Linked DNA regions of Caenorhabditis elegans. The protein of the gene in region 3 interacts with the protein of the main gene of each other region in a pairwise test. Each region holds a gene or a part of one and is shown on either strand. Other genes may lie near its edges. The genes, in order: npl-4.2, evl-18 and ufd-1.

What was found.
Region 1: the proteins of ufd-1 (region 3) and npl-4.2 interact in a two-hybrid assay, tested with the Caenorhabditis elegans proteins (2 studies listed by BioGRID).
Region 2: the proteins of ufd-1 (region 3) and evl-18 interact in a two-hybrid assay, tested with the Caenorhabditis elegans proteins (one study listed by BioGRID).

Annotation. Positions count from the first base shown.
Region 1 is NC_003280.10:5,620,981-5,625,500, reverse strand, and holds npl-4.2 (Nuclear protein localization protein 4 homolog 2), read right to left. Parts: upstream 2,613-4,520; 5' UTR 2,605-2,612; coding exon 2,461-2,604; intron 2,410-2,460; coding exon 2,044-2,409; intron 1,982-2,043; coding exon 1,790-1,981; intron 1,743-1,789; coding exon 1,010-1,742; intron 939-1,009; coding exon 784-938; 3' UTR 635-783; downstream 1-634. Other genes in the region: eif-3.L (Eukaryotic translation initiation factor 3 subunit L), read left to right, coding at 3,020-3,092, 3,710-3,836, 3,886-4,159, 4,203-4,370, 4,414-4,520.
Region 2 is NC_003281.10:3,729,021-3,736,946, reverse strand, and holds evl-18 (Cell division control protein 45 homolog), read left to right. Parts: upstream 1-1,907; coding exon 1,908-1,967; intron 1,968-2,016; coding exon 2,017-2,076; intron 2,077-2,095; exon of another isoform or gene 2,096-2,100; coding exon of another isoform or gene 2,101-2,273; intron 2,274-2,323; coding exon of another isoform or gene 2,324-2,513; intron 2,514-2,573; coding exon of another isoform or gene 2,574-2,654; exon of another isoform or gene 2,655-2,692; intron 2,693-2,803; coding exon 2,804-2,897; intron 2,898-3,376; coding exon 3,377-3,864; intron 3,865-4,590; coding exon 4,591-5,049; intron 5,050-5,439; coding exon 5,440-5,647; intron 5,648-5,698; exon of another isoform or gene 5,699-5,770; coding exon of another isoform or gene 5,771-5,839; intron 5,840-5,997; coding exon of another isoform or gene 5,998-6,090; exon of another isoform or gene 6,091-6,172; intron 6,173-6,444; coding exon 6,445-6,643; intron 6,644-6,689; coding exon 6,690-6,846; 3' UTR 6,847-7,307; downstream 7,308-7,926. Other genes in the region: F34D10.4 (C2H2-type domain-containing protein), read right to left, coding at 1-14, 130-252, 298-323; F34D10.3 (Serpentine Receptor, class E (Epsilon)), read right to left, coding at 2,101-2,273, 2,324-2,513, 2,574-2,654; F34D10.8 (uncharacterized protein), read right to left, coding at 5,771-5,839, 5,998-6,090; F34D10.9 (CPSF_A domain-containing protein), read left to right, coding at 7,377-7,391, 7,439-7,859.
Region 3 is NC_003282.8:12,328,821-12,332,597, reverse strand, and holds ufd-1 (Ubiquitin fusion degradation protein 1 homolog), read left to right. Parts: upstream 1-1,707; 5' UTR 1,708-1,723; coding exon 1,724-1,801; intron 1,802-1,822; exon of another isoform or gene 1,823-1,828; coding exon of another isoform or gene 1,829-1,888; intron 1,889-1,949; coding exon 1,950-2,087; intron 2,088-2,136; coding exon 2,137-2,348; intron 2,349-2,418; coding exon 2,419-2,879; intron 2,880-2,946; coding exon 2,947-3,086; 3' UTR 3,087-3,190; downstream 3,191-3,777. Other genes in the region: F19B6.1 (Uridine kinase), read left to right, coding at 492-840, 883-1,017. UniProt on the Caenorhabditis elegans protein: Functions at a post-ubiquitination step in the ubiquitin fusion degradation (UFD) pathway. In association with npl-4.1 and/or npl-4.2 and ATPase cdc-48.1 and/or cdc-48.2, involved in the cytoplasmic elimination of misfolded proteins exported from the ER.

The DNA.
Region 1 (4,520 bases), on a different chromosome or scaffold from region 3:
AAAGAGGAATTCGTCTTATGAATAAACTGAGAAGATCGATGATGCTGTTTTCAAAAGGGGAATTAAGCACTTCTACAAAAAGAAAAACGCGATAAATTGTCTCCTCAGTTTACCGGATCTTACACAATCAAGAAGATGAATGAACTTAGTAGTCTTAGTATGGAAGTTCCTAATTGAATAACGAGAAGCGGGAAAACTACAGTTTCAACTTTTCACAAAAGTCTATACAAAATGTTCATCACCTAGATTAGGTTTCGGTGAGTCTAAACTATAGTAGCAAATTATATGACTACACTATAGTTACAGATTATCTTAGCTTAGGGTTTTTTTATTATTTCTTCTTTCTTCTTTCTTCTTCAATTCATCACAATCTTCTTTCTTCTTTTCATCGCCTGCAAGAGGGAAAAAGATTTGAAATACTCACCATCTTCGATTCCACGGGTCCAACTCCGATTCGATAATTTGCGATATTTAATACTGGTATTCCACCAGTTGTGAATAATTAAAAAAACGATGATATAATAAAAAATAAAGTGTTATTTTTTTTCACCAGATGCAACAAAGTTATTTTTTCCAAATTCTCCTAAAGCTTTGCTTTTGTTTTAGAATTAATTCTTAATTTGTCTTCATGAAAAATATGGAGAAAAGAATTCATTTGTGGGTGACTTTACAGAGCATACCAGTAGAAATACACTAGTAGAAAAGCGGGAAAATGAATAGAAATTTACAGAAACCGAGTAGAATAATAACATTCAATAAATATACTTTTTGAGATGATAATTTTTAATCGGCAGCTGGCAATCCACACATCGAGCAATCCTGTCTTCCTGCTTCGTTTTGGAATGTACAGTGTCCACAGCTCCAAACGGCTCCTCTTGATCCACCACTGCTTGATCCGGAGAAAGGATCACCATTTGGAATGACAGGAATATCTGAAACTATGAGAAATTGATATAAAAAATTCTTCGTGAAAGCGGAGAAGCAAAAACACACTAAAATAATAGCTTACCGTCATTGCCGCTTCCTCCATTAGCATGCGCTAAAGCCATCAACTGATGCCAATCTTCACATTCCTGAGCCCATTCCATTGCAGTTCCTCTGTCCTGAGCTTTAACTGCATCACACAATCGTTTCATCCATTCATCAGAAATCTGCACTTGGTCATTGGTTACTAAATAGAGCAAAAAGTGGAAGTTTGTAGCCTGTTCCAAAAATTGATTTGTAGAGAATTCGGATGAATATTGAATCAAATTTGCACCTCCTTGAAGTTGTCCAATTGCTTGTCGATTTTCAACATTAAATTTGGCACTCTTCGATTTATTAGATGTGCCAACGTGGAACGTGTAGTGAGGCTCTTTTGGCATTCCAGCAGGAACATCCACCAGCAAATATTCAACTGGAAGTGGTCGTCCGTTTTTCATAACCTCGGCTCCGTATTCATTTTTCATCGAAAATTGAACATCAGTTATATAATGTTCTTCGGATAATGGTGTCTCTCGAACATAAGCCAATTCAGGAGTGTACAGTGTTGGACAGAGAATATCAGCTTCAACCATGGCCGCACATTGATTTGAAACTTGATATCCGTGGAAATTAACATGCATCGATTCATCACCAGATGCAACAACGGTCACAAATTTGGATCCATAGTGACGATCCATCGAGTACTCTGTGATGTTTGGATGTTGATTTTGAAGCATTGCTGCGGTGATGCATTCCTCAGCTGATAGGAAGAAGGAATCCTGAAAAATTATTCGTTTTTTGGGCTTCTCTTCGAGATTGTTCTCACCTTGTGCCGTGTATAATGTACAGTTCCTTCAGCACTATTAGCTGTCCAACAATCTGTGAAGATCCATCCAACACGTTGCAAGCCAAGCATTTCCAGCAAATTGTCAATAGTTTTTTGATTTTTATCCTCCAAAAACTCAATTCCATCTTCACGGCAGTGTTGTGGAGGTTCATAAATTGCAGCCACTGTAGCCTGAAAGTATGAGCAATGAAATAACTCGTCTCAAGAAATGAGTGATGAAGTACTGAACTTACCTTGATTCCTAGTGGAACTTCAAGGTGAGGCTGATACTGTCCAATTAAAAATCCAACACGCTGATGGCCCGATAGTCTCCAATAATCCAAAAACTGATTTACAAGCTCTTGATTTTCAATTTGAATGTTATCAACATGACGAAACTTTTGACGATTCAATGTTACAACCTGTGGTTTGCATTTAGTGCAAATTCCTTTCGGGAACGGCTTGTGAGCATCACAGTTGGGTTTTAATGAACATCGAAAGTTTTCCAGCGGTTTTTTGAGAGTCGTGCCCTTCCCCTGGGATCCAAGGAGCTTGCGAACATGTGCATGGAAGCTCATATGCTTGATATCTTTTTCTTTCAAATATTCTTCATCGAATGGCTGTAAATATTGATATTAGTTTCTATGAAAACAACAGAAAATATCACTTACATCAACAGGCAAACAATTAGTGCACTTTTGACGTACAGGATGCCGACAGTTGGGCCCTTTTGGACGCTGAATTTGACCATCTTGCGTGCTTAAAAAAACATCAACGTCGTTGACACGCTCAGTTTGAGGGACTTCAATTACCATATCTGAAATAAAATAGATTTTTAAATGCAGGAAGATATGCCTTCTAGGTAGTGAATTGAAGATATATAATTTTGAGATTTTGCAAAAATAATGCAGCGGAAAGGGTATCAAATTAGTTTCCATACATATTCAAACATTAAACAGCAAATGAAATAAAACATTTTGTTTTTAGAATAAAAAATGTCATCAAAACTGCCTAGACAACATGAATGACGAGCAAATGCGTACACAAAAAACCGTGCGGCACTCTTGCGAAATCCCATGCAACGCTTGCAATTTTCTTTTTTCCATCACATTTTCCAATTCCTTTCATCAAATTTTACAATTAAAAAAATGTTTTCTCTTAATTTTAGCGTACCTTTTCGAATTTAGTTTGACATTTAAATAATATCAATATAAAAACCTTCTTTCAGTAATGTCTCGACGCGTGGAATTCGATTTATCCACTGAAGATCACTCTGATCGTCGTCGCACCAACACCTTTTCTTGTAAGTTCACAGAATGCTATTTTTCAGAATTGATGAATAAGAGTAAAATGAGTTGAAAAATGTTAAAATTTGAAACAGTTCGAAAAGACTGAAGACTCGGTCCTTTTTTGATTAACCGATTTATTTTAATTCGGCAAACAGACATTTGGAGAATTTGGTCTGAAATAATTTTGCATAAAAACTGCAGATTAACATTCCATGAGCAAAATACATAAAATTCAGAAAAACCAAATTTTCCAAATACTGTTACAGTGAAGAATCAATGCCAATTCTCAGAACTCCCTCATTGTATATGAAAATGACTACTTTTGTCATTTTCAGTGTTTTTCGGTGTCGAATATCCTCAAATCTCAGATTAAATGAATCACAGCTTTATTCATTTGAAAGAAATAATAAATGAAAAGGTGTTCATAAGAGTTCATAAGAAGTTAATCATTTAAAAGCCCGAGAGAGAAGTTGAGTATCAGAGGATCAATGATCGTGCATTGTGAAATCTTTTCAAAAGAAAAATTGATAATCAATCAATAGAGTAATTCTATAAACATATTTATGGTAGTTATTTAGGTGCTTGTTAACAACACAAACTTATCTCATTTCTTAATTTTTAACAGCTTCAGCCGATGAGGATGGAGTTCCAAATGAGGTCGCCGACTACCTGGTCTACTTTTCCCGCATGGTTGACGAACAAAATGTGCCGGAAATTTTGACTCTCTACGATCAAGCTTTTCCAGATCTCACCGAGAGGTAATATTTAATAATCTCAAATTGTTTTCTATTTATCTTTTAATTTCAGATTCTTCCGTGATCGCATGTGGCCCGATGAGAATGTTGTCGAAAGAATTATTGGACCTGGCAACAAGTTGTTCATAATTCTCTACAAGGAACTCTATTATCGCCAGCTGTATGCAAGAAATACTCGTGGACCACTCCTTGTCCATCGCTATGAGTCGTTCATGAACTATCAAGAGTTATTCTCTGAGCTTCTCTCAAGCAAGGATCCAATTCCATTGTCTCTCCCTAACGTGTGGCTTTGGGATATTATCGACGAATTCGTCTATCAATTCCAGGTAATATTTTTTGGTAGAGTTTGTACGTAATATAAATATTCAGGCATTCTGTCTCTACAAGGCTAACCCAGGAAAACGCAATGCTGATGAAGTTGAAGATCTCATCAATATCGAAGAAAATCAGAACGCGTGGAATATCTATCCAGTTCTCAACATTCTCTATTCGCTTCTATCAAAATCCCAAATTGTGGAGCAGCTCAAGGCATTGAAGGTTTGTTTAATTCAATATTATTTTTTTGCTTTCAACTCTACAGTCGTTCCAGGAAAAACGCAATCCGGATTCGGTCGCCGATGAATTCGGTCAATCGGATCTCTACTTCAAGCTTGGATATTTCGCTCTCATCGGACTTCTCCGCACTCA
Region 2 (7,926 bases), on a different chromosome or scaffold from region 3:
ACAAGTACACTTTCCTAAAATAAATACTAATGTTAAGCCTTAATTAATTTTTTTTGTTTTCAAGGAAGTAAGAGTCTTTGAAAACCAATATCTCAAAAATTGCAAACATTTTTCGGCGCCAAAACTTACGTGTGTATCGAAAAATGGGTCAGAGTGTCGGAAAATGTGCCGACGAAGTTACACTCATCGCCCCTCCGATTTTTCATGAACCGACATCTGAAGAAGTTTTTATTCTGTTCATAACTATCGGTTCTGCAAAAAAGCTATTTTTGTTGATGAAATATTCGCATTACTCACATTAATGCCTTAATATAAGGTTCCATATGCCGCCGTCAATTGATTGAGCTGAAAATTAGAATTGTGTTGAGAGCATATAAGGAAAAAAGAAAATTAAGACGGAGAATTGTGCAACTGAAAATATTCGAGAGGACCCTATTGTACACGTGGCATATCCATAAATATGTGCCACGAGCTGGGGAGCGAGGTTAAGGTCACGTTAAACATTTTATTAATTCGAATTTATATGGCAGGTTTCATAAAATTAAGTTGTTTTTCTCTTATATCCTAGACTTTTTAATAAGGTAAAAATCGACGAATTTGTAGCTTCCTTTAAAAATTAAAAATGTTATAGTAGATTACAAAAATGGCCAGAGTAGAGCGCATGTATGAATATTCAATGGTGGCGTCCGTGTTTTGTGTAAAATATTCTCATTGTGTACAATATTGTAGGAATACACTCAAAACAAATAGTGTTGCCTCGACATTTGCAATTTGAAAGTGTTACAGCACCCTTTTGATTTTATGAATATAGAAAAAATGTGCGAGAAAAATCAACGAGCGTCCCCGATTTGCCAATAAATCGTGGCAAAAAGGAAGAAAAACGAATAGATACGTGGTATGAGCGGAAGGAAGAGTTCGTTCGTCCTTCCAAAATAAACTGAGCTTTCTCTCTCTTCTACTCGGTTTTTATACCCGCTTTTTACGGGAGTGGATGGGCGGTGTGAAGCCAAGTGACGCGCCGCCGGTGCGTCACATGGCTTTTCCCAGTAACACGTGGTCTAGATACGAGCGGCTGCAGGGAACAAAGAAACATGCCAGGAATTCAATTAAATGCATTTGAAACCGGAATTTTCCGACCAAAAATTGTTTAAATTATTGAAAACGACAGAAATTAAATATTTGAATTTCGCCTAAAACAAAACAAAACATTTTCGTTGCGAGACCCACAACTCCAGAAAATGCGTGCTCCTTTAAACTAATTTCGCTTTTTCAACTGAATTAGCTGAATTTTGTGAATAATCAAAGAAAATAAGGAGGACTCCTTCCCCCGGAGGGTATTTGAGAGAAAAAAACAAAAAGTTAAATACAGTAACTGAAAAAACTCAATAAACGTAGATATTTAACTTACGAAAGAAAAACCTCCTCGCCTTGAATGTAACCTACGCGTGTCTGTGTTCATAAAATCCTGATGTGTATTTATTCATATTATTTTCTATGAGTTTGAAATTGAAATACAAAAATTTGTAAATATTGTATAATATTTACATTTCTGACCAAATCTACTCAATCCTCCTCCCCGTTCACCGCGTGCGCGATGACGTCTTCTCCAAACACTCCAGATGACGTAACATACCACCATTCTGTCATTCAGCAACAGCACATTATTATTTTCAATTGAATTGCCCACTTTTAGATTTATTTCTGTAGATTTTTCGGTTTTCAATTCAGTTTTTGCGAGAAATCGAGAAATGCAATTGCGCCCTGCCGCACTCTCAACGCGCGAAGCCATTAATTTGAAACGAACGCATCTTTTTTCACACTTTTCTGGTGATTTTCTCGAGATTTTTTGCTTATTATCTTTTTGAAATTAATAAAAAATAATTTTAAATCAATATTATAAATTTCAGATGATCATCGAAGACAACTTTCGGCAGGAATTCTACAATAAAATCAAGAAAGGCGATAAAGTGAGTTTAAAGTCATTTTTACTCCATTTTCACGTTATTTCTGCTTCAGAGTGTGGTTCTAATCGTTTCAGTCGACACGGATGCATTATGCACGACGATGATTTTGACGGTAATAATGCAATTTATTTATAAATCAATGATTATTTATTTTCTTTTGAACGGAGTAAAGTCTCCGCGTGAGATCGACAAAAATTATTCCACAAAAGATCCAAAATGGGATGAAATAGACAATATATGGAATTGAAAGTGCAAATGTCAGCCGAATTGCGATGAGAACCTCGAAAACCACTTTGCAAGTGATGCATACTGAAAATCGATTTTTTTTATTCAAAAAATATATTTATTTTCGTACTAACCGAACTGTCCTGTGTAAACATTATTGAATGGATACAAAAAGTTCCAGAAAGCGCGGATTCCGAGGTTTTGCTGTCCATTTGTGCGTAATTCGGAGTAAATGTTGTAAAAGAGCACTCCGAAGCACGCAGCGTCTGTGGCAAAAACTATAAGACAAAGGAAAATGTACTGTTTGTCGCCACTTGAATTATCCTGGAATTATTGTCTCCGGTTTATTGAAAATATTTCAATTTATCTTTCATTTCTGCTCACCAAAAACAGAGCCAAACAAATCGTGGTGGCAAGAAGGTCAAGGAAGACACAGATCGCTTTTTGACCCGATAAAAGTCGCATATTCATAAATGAACTCAATTTTATTCACATAATATTGAGAAAAATAGTCGATGGAGACAATAAGAGGGGGAGGGTGCAGAGAAAGAGAAGCGTACGAGAGAGCGCGGTTGCTGTGAGAGCATTAGATAGAACAATTATTCAAATTTCAGCATCTGCTACGCTGTGATGACATCCCATTCTCGATTCTTGCAGTGGAAGGATGGAGCTCGGTGGAGAAGATTTTTGCAGATTCACAAGAGCAAAGTATGTGAGAGAGTCGAAATATCCCCAATTTTTAATTAAAAAATAATTCCGTCACCGTTACCACACGGAAAAGTGGCAAAATTGGAGTAAAAATACAGTATCCGGTCTCGATACGAAAGATAGTACTGTAATTTTGAGCTCCCGTTTTTGCGCAATTCATATCGATGTGTTAGATTTATGTGATTTTATTTTTTAATATATAGTGTTTTTTTTAAAATAAACACATATTTTTAACGAGAAAACTATGAAAAATCGATAAAATTGCTCATCAACGAAAGTTTGAACCTACAGTACTCTTTAAAGGCGCACACTTTTTCGCAATTAGCAAATATTTGTCTGTCGAGATCCGGCGGAACTCTATACCGCCATATCAATTTCTAAGAAGTTTTATCACAATTTTCGGAATTTCGGAGCAAGATTTCCGCTGTTTCCTTTAATAAATTGATAAAAAAACATTTTTTATTACATTTTTATTACAGAATGTCATTATATCCTAATCAATTGCGGAGCAACACGATCCCTGACACGACTACAAATCCCGCCGGCTTCAATAGCATTTGTCATTGATTCTCATCGACCATTTCACATTGAGAATGTCTATGAAAATGGTCAAATTCATTTATTGGCAAATCCAAGTGAAATGAGCGAATTGCAAATTCCTGATCTTGAATCTGTGATTCGAGAGGATTCTGACGATGAAGAAGATTCAGATGAAGATGAAGATCAAGAGTACATCTCATATGAACAACGAATGGAAAAGATTCGACGGAAAGCGATTAAGAGGGAAGAAATGCAAATATGGGAAAGGCAGAGGAGGACAATTCTCTGGAGATACTACGAATCGACGTGGTTCAGCTCGCCGAGCTGTGTGACTTTACTCGAGATGGCCGCAGAAATGAACAGAGTATCTGCTGAAACTATGTGGTTTACTGCGGTCGGGTTGAATAGTGCGATGGCTGATAAATTGGTAAGTTTTAGGTGTGAAGGCTTTGAGCGAATCAAAAATTTCGGTTTCCTCTGAAAAATATCGAAAAAAAATTTTATGACGAAAGAAAAACATCGATTTTTGGCTCAAAAAATGATGCAATTTATCGGATCGATCTTTAATTTCAGGAAAATACGATGGTACAGTAGTTCTTAAAGGCGCATACTCTTTCAAAATCCAAAAAAATCGTGTAGAGACCAAGTTTTTAGGGCAAAAAATGGTATTTTTGGGTTTTTTCAAAAATAATATAATCCAGACACAAAATTTTGCGATTTTTGCGCCAAAAATACGGCGCCCGAGGTATTGACAACTGCTGAAAGATGTGCGCCTTTAAAGAGTACTGTAGCTTTAAATTCTCGTTGTTGCGAAATTTCATCGTTTTTGACAAATTTTTGAATGAAAAAAAAAATTGAATACATTTTTTATCAAAAAAAACTATAGATAATCGATGAAAATTCCGCGACAACGAAAATTGAAAGCTACAGTAAACTTTAAAGACGCAGACATTTTTATATTCCACACAAAGGTGTTGTTTCGAGACCTATAGCATTTCAAATTGATTAATAATTATGTTAAAACACCCCAAAAATCTACAGATTTTGAACAATTTTCAGTAAAAAAATTGGCAAATTACCAATTATCGCTAAAATTGCACTATTACACAATTTAAAAAGCCATAAAACAGTATTTTATACAACTTTTTTTCAGATCTCAATTGAAATGTACACCCAAATCTGTGTAGATCGAATGCGTCCGTTTGTCCATCGATTTATGCCAAAAAATATAGTGAATCAAGGAAAAGTGGATGATCTCTTGCATATTACATTTGGCCGAGAACTACCACTTGCTCTATATTCACATTGGGATTTGTTCAGTGCAATGATGGTCAGCGAGTATTTCTCGATTAAAACAAAAAATTGGACACAAAAAGGAGATGTGAATATTCGACATTTACTTGCTCAACTTGGAATCACTCTTCACGAAACAAAACAAAAATTCGAAGCTCTTCCAACGGAGCAACGGAATTTGGTGGTTGATGTTCTGGAAAAAGAAATGGATTCATCGTTTGCAACATTTTTTGGAACTCTTGGATATTGTGGGAAGTTGAGTGCATGTGATGTTGCAAGAGCTGTCACTTTACGATTGGAAATGCCGAAAAGTGAAACTGTAAGGGTTTTTTTTTGTAAAAATTTATATTTTTAGCCATTCTCTTCCAATATTTTAAATTAAAATTCAGTGATAAAGTATAGAAAAATATTTAGTTTATCTGAAAATAACTATTAATTTACTTGGAACAACTGAAAAAGTTCTCAATAATTCTCTGATTTTTTCGAGCAATTTTCAACTTTCAGATAACTTTTTGCACTCTTTAAACAATTAAAAGTGCTGAAAAATTATCTGGAAGTTGAGAACTCTCGGAACAAAATCTACCAGCTTTTAGACAATTATTTGAGCATTTCTCCAATTGTTCCAACTGAAATAAAAGGTATTTTCAGATAAATCAAATATTTTTTCTAATATTCTGAAATGCCAAAAAATAAAAATATATTATTCCAGATAATGAATCGTTTCCGATCCGGTCAATCAATCCTCAGATCATCAATAACTGGAGAACGACAAGATCGCCTGAATCTCAACAACACGTTCACTTCGATCTGCCAACGAACGCTTCAAGTGTCGTGGAAAACCGTCGCGGCGGCTATTAATCAATCGGAGATTATTCCAAATGGGCCGTATTATCTATTCTCGTGCTCACGGTCCATTGGTACGGATTTTAGAATCATTTGGAAAAAGTCAAATCGGAGAAAATAAAAACTCGATTTTTAAGCATTTTATTAGCATAATCAGAAGATGAAGTTCGATGGGGTCATGTGTTGTGGCTCGGCTATCACTTGGCTCCGCGAGTAGATCCACCAGTTGATTTTCCAGATGCTTCCTCAGCGACGCGAGCCTCTCTCTGTAATTTATTTTTGATGGGAAAATTAGTTGAAATTTTGAATTCAGAAATCCTCAAAGCGGTTTTTGAAAAAAACTCAAATTCGAATTCCCGCAATTTTTTTGATTAAATTCTGAATTCCCCGAGAAGCTAATGTTTCCAAATAACAAAATGCTTACCTTTGCAACCTTGCAAGCTCTGGCATGAGCCATTCTCTCCACCTGCATCTTCTTCTTCATTCGCTTTGGCATCAATTTCTTTGCGGCAGCCATTGCAGACCTTCTTCACAAGTTTCGATAACTAGAACTAACGAGAACTGATTTTGTTTCAAAAAGTTGAAGGAGAGTGGGAAATAAAAAAATCAGGCTTCACGTTTCTCGCGTCATTTGTTTTGAATTTTTTAAATAATTTCTTTTGAACAGATTAATTTTTCGCGTGTAAAAATCTTTTTGGACATCTGCTCTTTTGGTCTGGGGTCTTGGTTGGGGTTTTCAGAGAAAATCAGAAATTTTGAAAATTAATAAAACATTAAATTTTTAAATCAAATTTTGTTGATGTTGATGGGAAAAAATTGAAAACTAGTGAGAAAATTTAGTACTTTTATAGTCTAAAAAATATATTTCCAGACGAGGATATGGTCGACTCACGTCATTTTCTCTACAACACCGCCGGATTCATGATTCGCGCCTTTGCCTCAATGAAGAAAGGACGTACAACAAAGCCGCTAATCGCAATGTTCCCATTGACTGGAGAGAGTGCTGGATGGCTTGTAGTCACTGGAGTTATGCCGATTGCCACAATTTATGAGGATTCACTACTTAAAACGTAATATTCGGCCTGTAATTTTAACTTTAAAATTGATTATTTTCAGGTGTATTGGTCGTGCTTTCGAACGAGTAAAGAAAATGACTCCACCACTTCGTATCGTTGATGACTACTTTAATTCTGATATTATTCGCTTGAAATCTGAAGATCGTACTCGTTTTATTGATTTTCTGCAGACTGTCTTTGAGGGCACATCCAACTGATCTCTTACAGGCGTTTCTACCTATTGCACCATCTTGTTCCAATGCTTTTAATGAAAAAAAAAGTCTTAAAATATAGAGCATTACTTAATTTATCGGAAAATAGCTGAAAATGGCTTGGAAACTGCCATTTTTAGGCGATTTTCCTGCGTTTTCTGTGATAAATCAAGTGATTTTCTATATTTTGACACTAATTTTTAATGAAAAACATGGTGCATTAGGCTATTTTGTAGAATTGCCTCCTACTGTTATAATGTTCAATCTTTCTCATACACGGGCACACTGACTTTCCGAGTTTAATTTTTATTATCAATTTCTGAAATTATTTCCCCTATTTACTTCTCCACTTCTCATTTCATTGTCACATATTCACTTTATTTTGATCAGTTTTCACGTGAACATATTGTAATTTTTTTTCTGATGATGATTTTTTTCTGATGATTGATTAAATCAACTTCCAACTTCTTCAAACTAATTTATTTTATATTTTATCTAGTCTCAAATTTACGCACTTATCATTTTTCTACTCGAAAATGTCTACGCATAAGGTATGTTCGAGTTGGCCGATTTTCCTGATTAATTGAGGATTTTCTAGCAATCATATTTTGTGAGTTCAACACCGAATGGTCTTGATGGAGCTCAATATCTTGCTGTAAATCGTGATGGAAGTGTTCTTTATGGTCTTAAAGTTCGCATCGTATTGAGCATAGTTGAAGCTCCGGAACAAGCTCCAGAAGTCATCACTACAGCAACTGAAAAGTCTATCTGCAAATACCACGTGGCATCCGGAAACACAAAAACGTTCCAACTTGACGACGATATTGATCCGCTTCTTCTCGCTCGAATTATTGAATTTTATATGATTTCGGATAATATTGTCGCGCTGATTTCTTACGATTCAGAGCATTTTCAAGTTATACAGACACTTATTCATCTGGAACATTCGAAAGAATGGGCTCAGACGATTGTCGTGAGAAGATTGACTATTAGCAGAATGTCTGGGCCCCCATTAGTTAGTGAGTCAATCGGTTTTTTATCTGAAAAATGCCTCTGATTCTGACGAATTTGAATTGACCTCTAAGC
Region 3 (3,777 bases):
TCTGAAATCAGCGCCAACCTTTCTGAAATTTCTGAATCTGACTGCAAAAATACGGTACCCGGTCTCGACACGACAAATGTTTGTTAAACAAAAGTGTGCGCCTTGAAATAGTACTGTAGTTTCAATTTCTTATCACTGCGGATTTTTTGTTTTATTTTAAGTTTTGTTTATGGTTTCAATCAAGTTTTTTAATACAGAAATAATTTTTATAGAAAAACTACAAAGAATCAATAAAAATTCTGCAGTAATTTAAAATTACAGTAATCTTTAAAGGCGCTCTTTCAGCAAAAAATCTGTCGAATCGAGACCGGCTACCGTATTTTCGGCTTAAGAATTGCAAAGTTTCAGATCTTGGTTTCGGATATTCGGATATTAATGTTCTATTGTTTCCAATATAAGAATAAACTTTTTCTAAATAAAACTTGAAAACTAAACAATTGAAAACGTCTAAAATAGGCTCAACCATCTAGAAACTTTAATTTTTATTTCAGAACTATTGGCAAACGAAAGGACGCTCAGATTTGTGGTCTTCCAATCATGCGAGCCGGCGAATGTATGGAGACTGCTCTTCGCTCAATCGTCAAGGACTGCGTGATCGGAAAAATTTTGATTCAAACCAACGAGACGACGTTTGATCCAGAACTTCATTATATACGTTTGCCACCACACATAACTCGATACAAAGTTATCATTATGGACGCCACCGTAACTACTGGGAGTGCTGCGATGATGGCAATTCGTGTACTTCTTGATCATGATGTTAAAGAGGAAGACATATTTGTTGCATCTCTGCTTATGGGTCAACAAGGTGCACATGCACTGGCTTATGCCTTCCCGAAGGTTTACAATTTTTTATTTGAATTAAAAATTATTAATTTTCAGGTTAAATTAATCACCACCGCAATGGACCACCAAATGACGGAAAATTGCTATCTGATTCCCGGAATGGGCAATTTTGGTGATCGATATTACGGAACCGGGCTCGAACAAGACATGGACGAGCCATTCGATATGTGATCATCTGTTATCACAAAAATGATCAATTTTCTTCATAATTTATCAAAGTTTCTGTTTTCCTTCCATTTCATCTGATGAATTCCTACTTTCTTGTTCCTTTTCACTAACTTTATTATTATAATTATAATTATTCATAATGTTCTTTCTTTCCCATCATCATATCCATCCTTCTATACATTTTGTTTCCATTTGTTGTTGAAATTTTATATGCTATTTCATTTTTTGTCGTCCTTTTTTTCCGTTCTTCATTTTATTGACTTCTCTTCATGATTTCTGGCATTCAGCTCGATAATTCATTTATACCCTGTTCTTTCTAGTGTTTTTTCGCGTTGTTTGTGACGGTTAAATTCTTCCCTCTACATCTTTGCGCGTTTCCACACAAAAATCTGTACACGACATTCGGTTTTCTCGTTGTTCCATTTCTTTTTTGTTCAACGGAGCGCGTTTGTCGTTGCAGGAATCGGTTTTAATATCATCATCCATTCACGCATTCTCTTTTTCATGTTGTTCATTGTGTTTTTCTTCAATTTTTGTCAAGTTTCCTTCACACGTGCATTTTAGTAATTTCTTTCTATAATAAATTGCAGTTTGTTAAATATTTAAATGATCAATGAGCTCTCTTTTCTTGGTTGGCTCATCCTCTTTGTATTTTTTGAATTATAGTTGAAGAAAACGTTAATAACTTTTCAGAAAACCAAAAATAAAAATGCAAGCGTGGATACAACAAGGACTTCACGGGATGCAGATGGGCGGCCGAGTCGGGAATTATGATCAAACTTTTGTGGTGAGCTTTTAAAATTCATTTCGAAAGATGTTTGCAAACTTTTTTCAACAACAACTTCGCCGAACTACTCGTCATTTCGATCTCATTGTAAATAATAAATTGGATTTCAAAGATTATATTTCAGCGTTAATAAACAATTAAATTTCAGGTATATGGGCCCGTATTCCTTCCCAATGCAACACAGTCAAAAATAAGCGAAATCAATTATGGTGGAAAGATTCTTCTGCCGTCATCTGCTCTCAACTTGCTCATGCAATATAATATTCCGATGCCAATGCTTTTCAAGGTTTGTTTTGTATAGCTTGAAGTAACTAGAAAACCATTAAAATTTACAGCTAACCAATATGGCTGTTCAACGTGTAACTCATTGCGGTGTTCTTGAATTTTCTGCTCCAGAAGGACAAGCCATTCTGCCACTTTGGATGATGCAGCAATTGGGACTTGACGATGGAGATACCATTCGCATTGAGTCTGCAACTCTTCCGAAAGCCACGTTTGCTAAATTGAAGCCGATGTCACTCGAGTTTCTGAATATTACTAATCCAAAGTGAGTTTTCATAAACTCTAATAATTTTTTGAAGTTTTTGAACAAAGTCCTATATTTTTCTATTTTTCAGAGCTGTTCTTGAAGTGGAACTTCGAAAATATGCATGCCTCACCAAAAACGATCGGATCCCAACATCATATGCTGGACAAACTCTCGAATTCCTCGTCGTTGATTTGAAACCGGCCAACTCTGTGTGCATCATTGAATGTGATGTTAATCTCGATTTCGATCCTCCAGAAGGCTACGTTGAACAACCGAGACAGGTGACTCCTGCTGTCACTGCCAAGCCGCCTGCGCCAGATGCATCCGCATTTATTGGAGCTGGACAAAAAGCTGGTGGTAGTGGAGGGACAGGACAAAATGCAACTTCTGTATTCGGAGGAGCTGGGCGTCGTCTCGATGGAAAGAAGAAGCCATCATCTTCAGTATCACTCTCAGATGGAACCGGTGTTAGTACGAGTAATGCAGCTCCAGTGGCGAATGATTTGCCAGCTATTCCACCAGTGGTTGTCAATGAAGACTACAAACCAGGTAATACTTGTTTCATCTGAAATAAACATTTCAAAATAATTGAAAAGTTAAATTTTATGATTTTCAGGTCGTGTTTCATTCCTTCGTTATGATTATAAACGTGTTGATGTTCTCGAAAAAGAGCTCCGAGAGAAAGAAGCCAGCAAGGCAGGACAACCGTCAAATGTCTTCCGTGGAGGCAATCGAACACTGAGAGGAGCCCGTTAATGTCTCGAATCTGGCCAATTGTGCTATGAATAACATCTTTCACTTCACATAACCTTGTAAAAGTTCATCGCCACTTTTTTGTACAGGATAAATTTATTTGAATATATTATTCTTTGATAAGTGTGATTCAGAGATGAAATTGAAGGAGATCTCCGGAGAAAAAAATGAAATAACTAATATTATAGAACTATTCACTTGTTACAAAAATGCCTTGTAAGGTTTAAAAAATTGCAGAACTTGTTTAGATCATAAATTCTGGCTAGCGTCTGTGCTTCCGAAAACACACAAATGGACTTTTTCAATTGAAATTTTTTTGTTGAATCGAAAAATTCAATATTCAAGGAGCTCGGCCATGAAGCTGATGAACCTTCAGCGATGTCAGTGATGGGTGGAGTGGTTTCTTATCCAAACTTCTATGAATGAAAAAACCTGGAGAAAATGCTGTTTTGAAAGCCAACTCTATTTTTTGCAGAAAAAGGTCCAAATAGTCGATAGCTTCACAAAAGATCACTCGAAAATAGTCAAGATTCTGCAGGAAAAAGTCAAGTCTCAATACAAAAATTACATCTACAACACCAAAAAATCATTAAAATAAATACTAATTTATTGATACGGCGAAAGAATCGAATAAAATACAAAAAAAAAGAAAGTAGGATAGCTGAAGCAAATCGAGAGAACGGAGAAACAAATT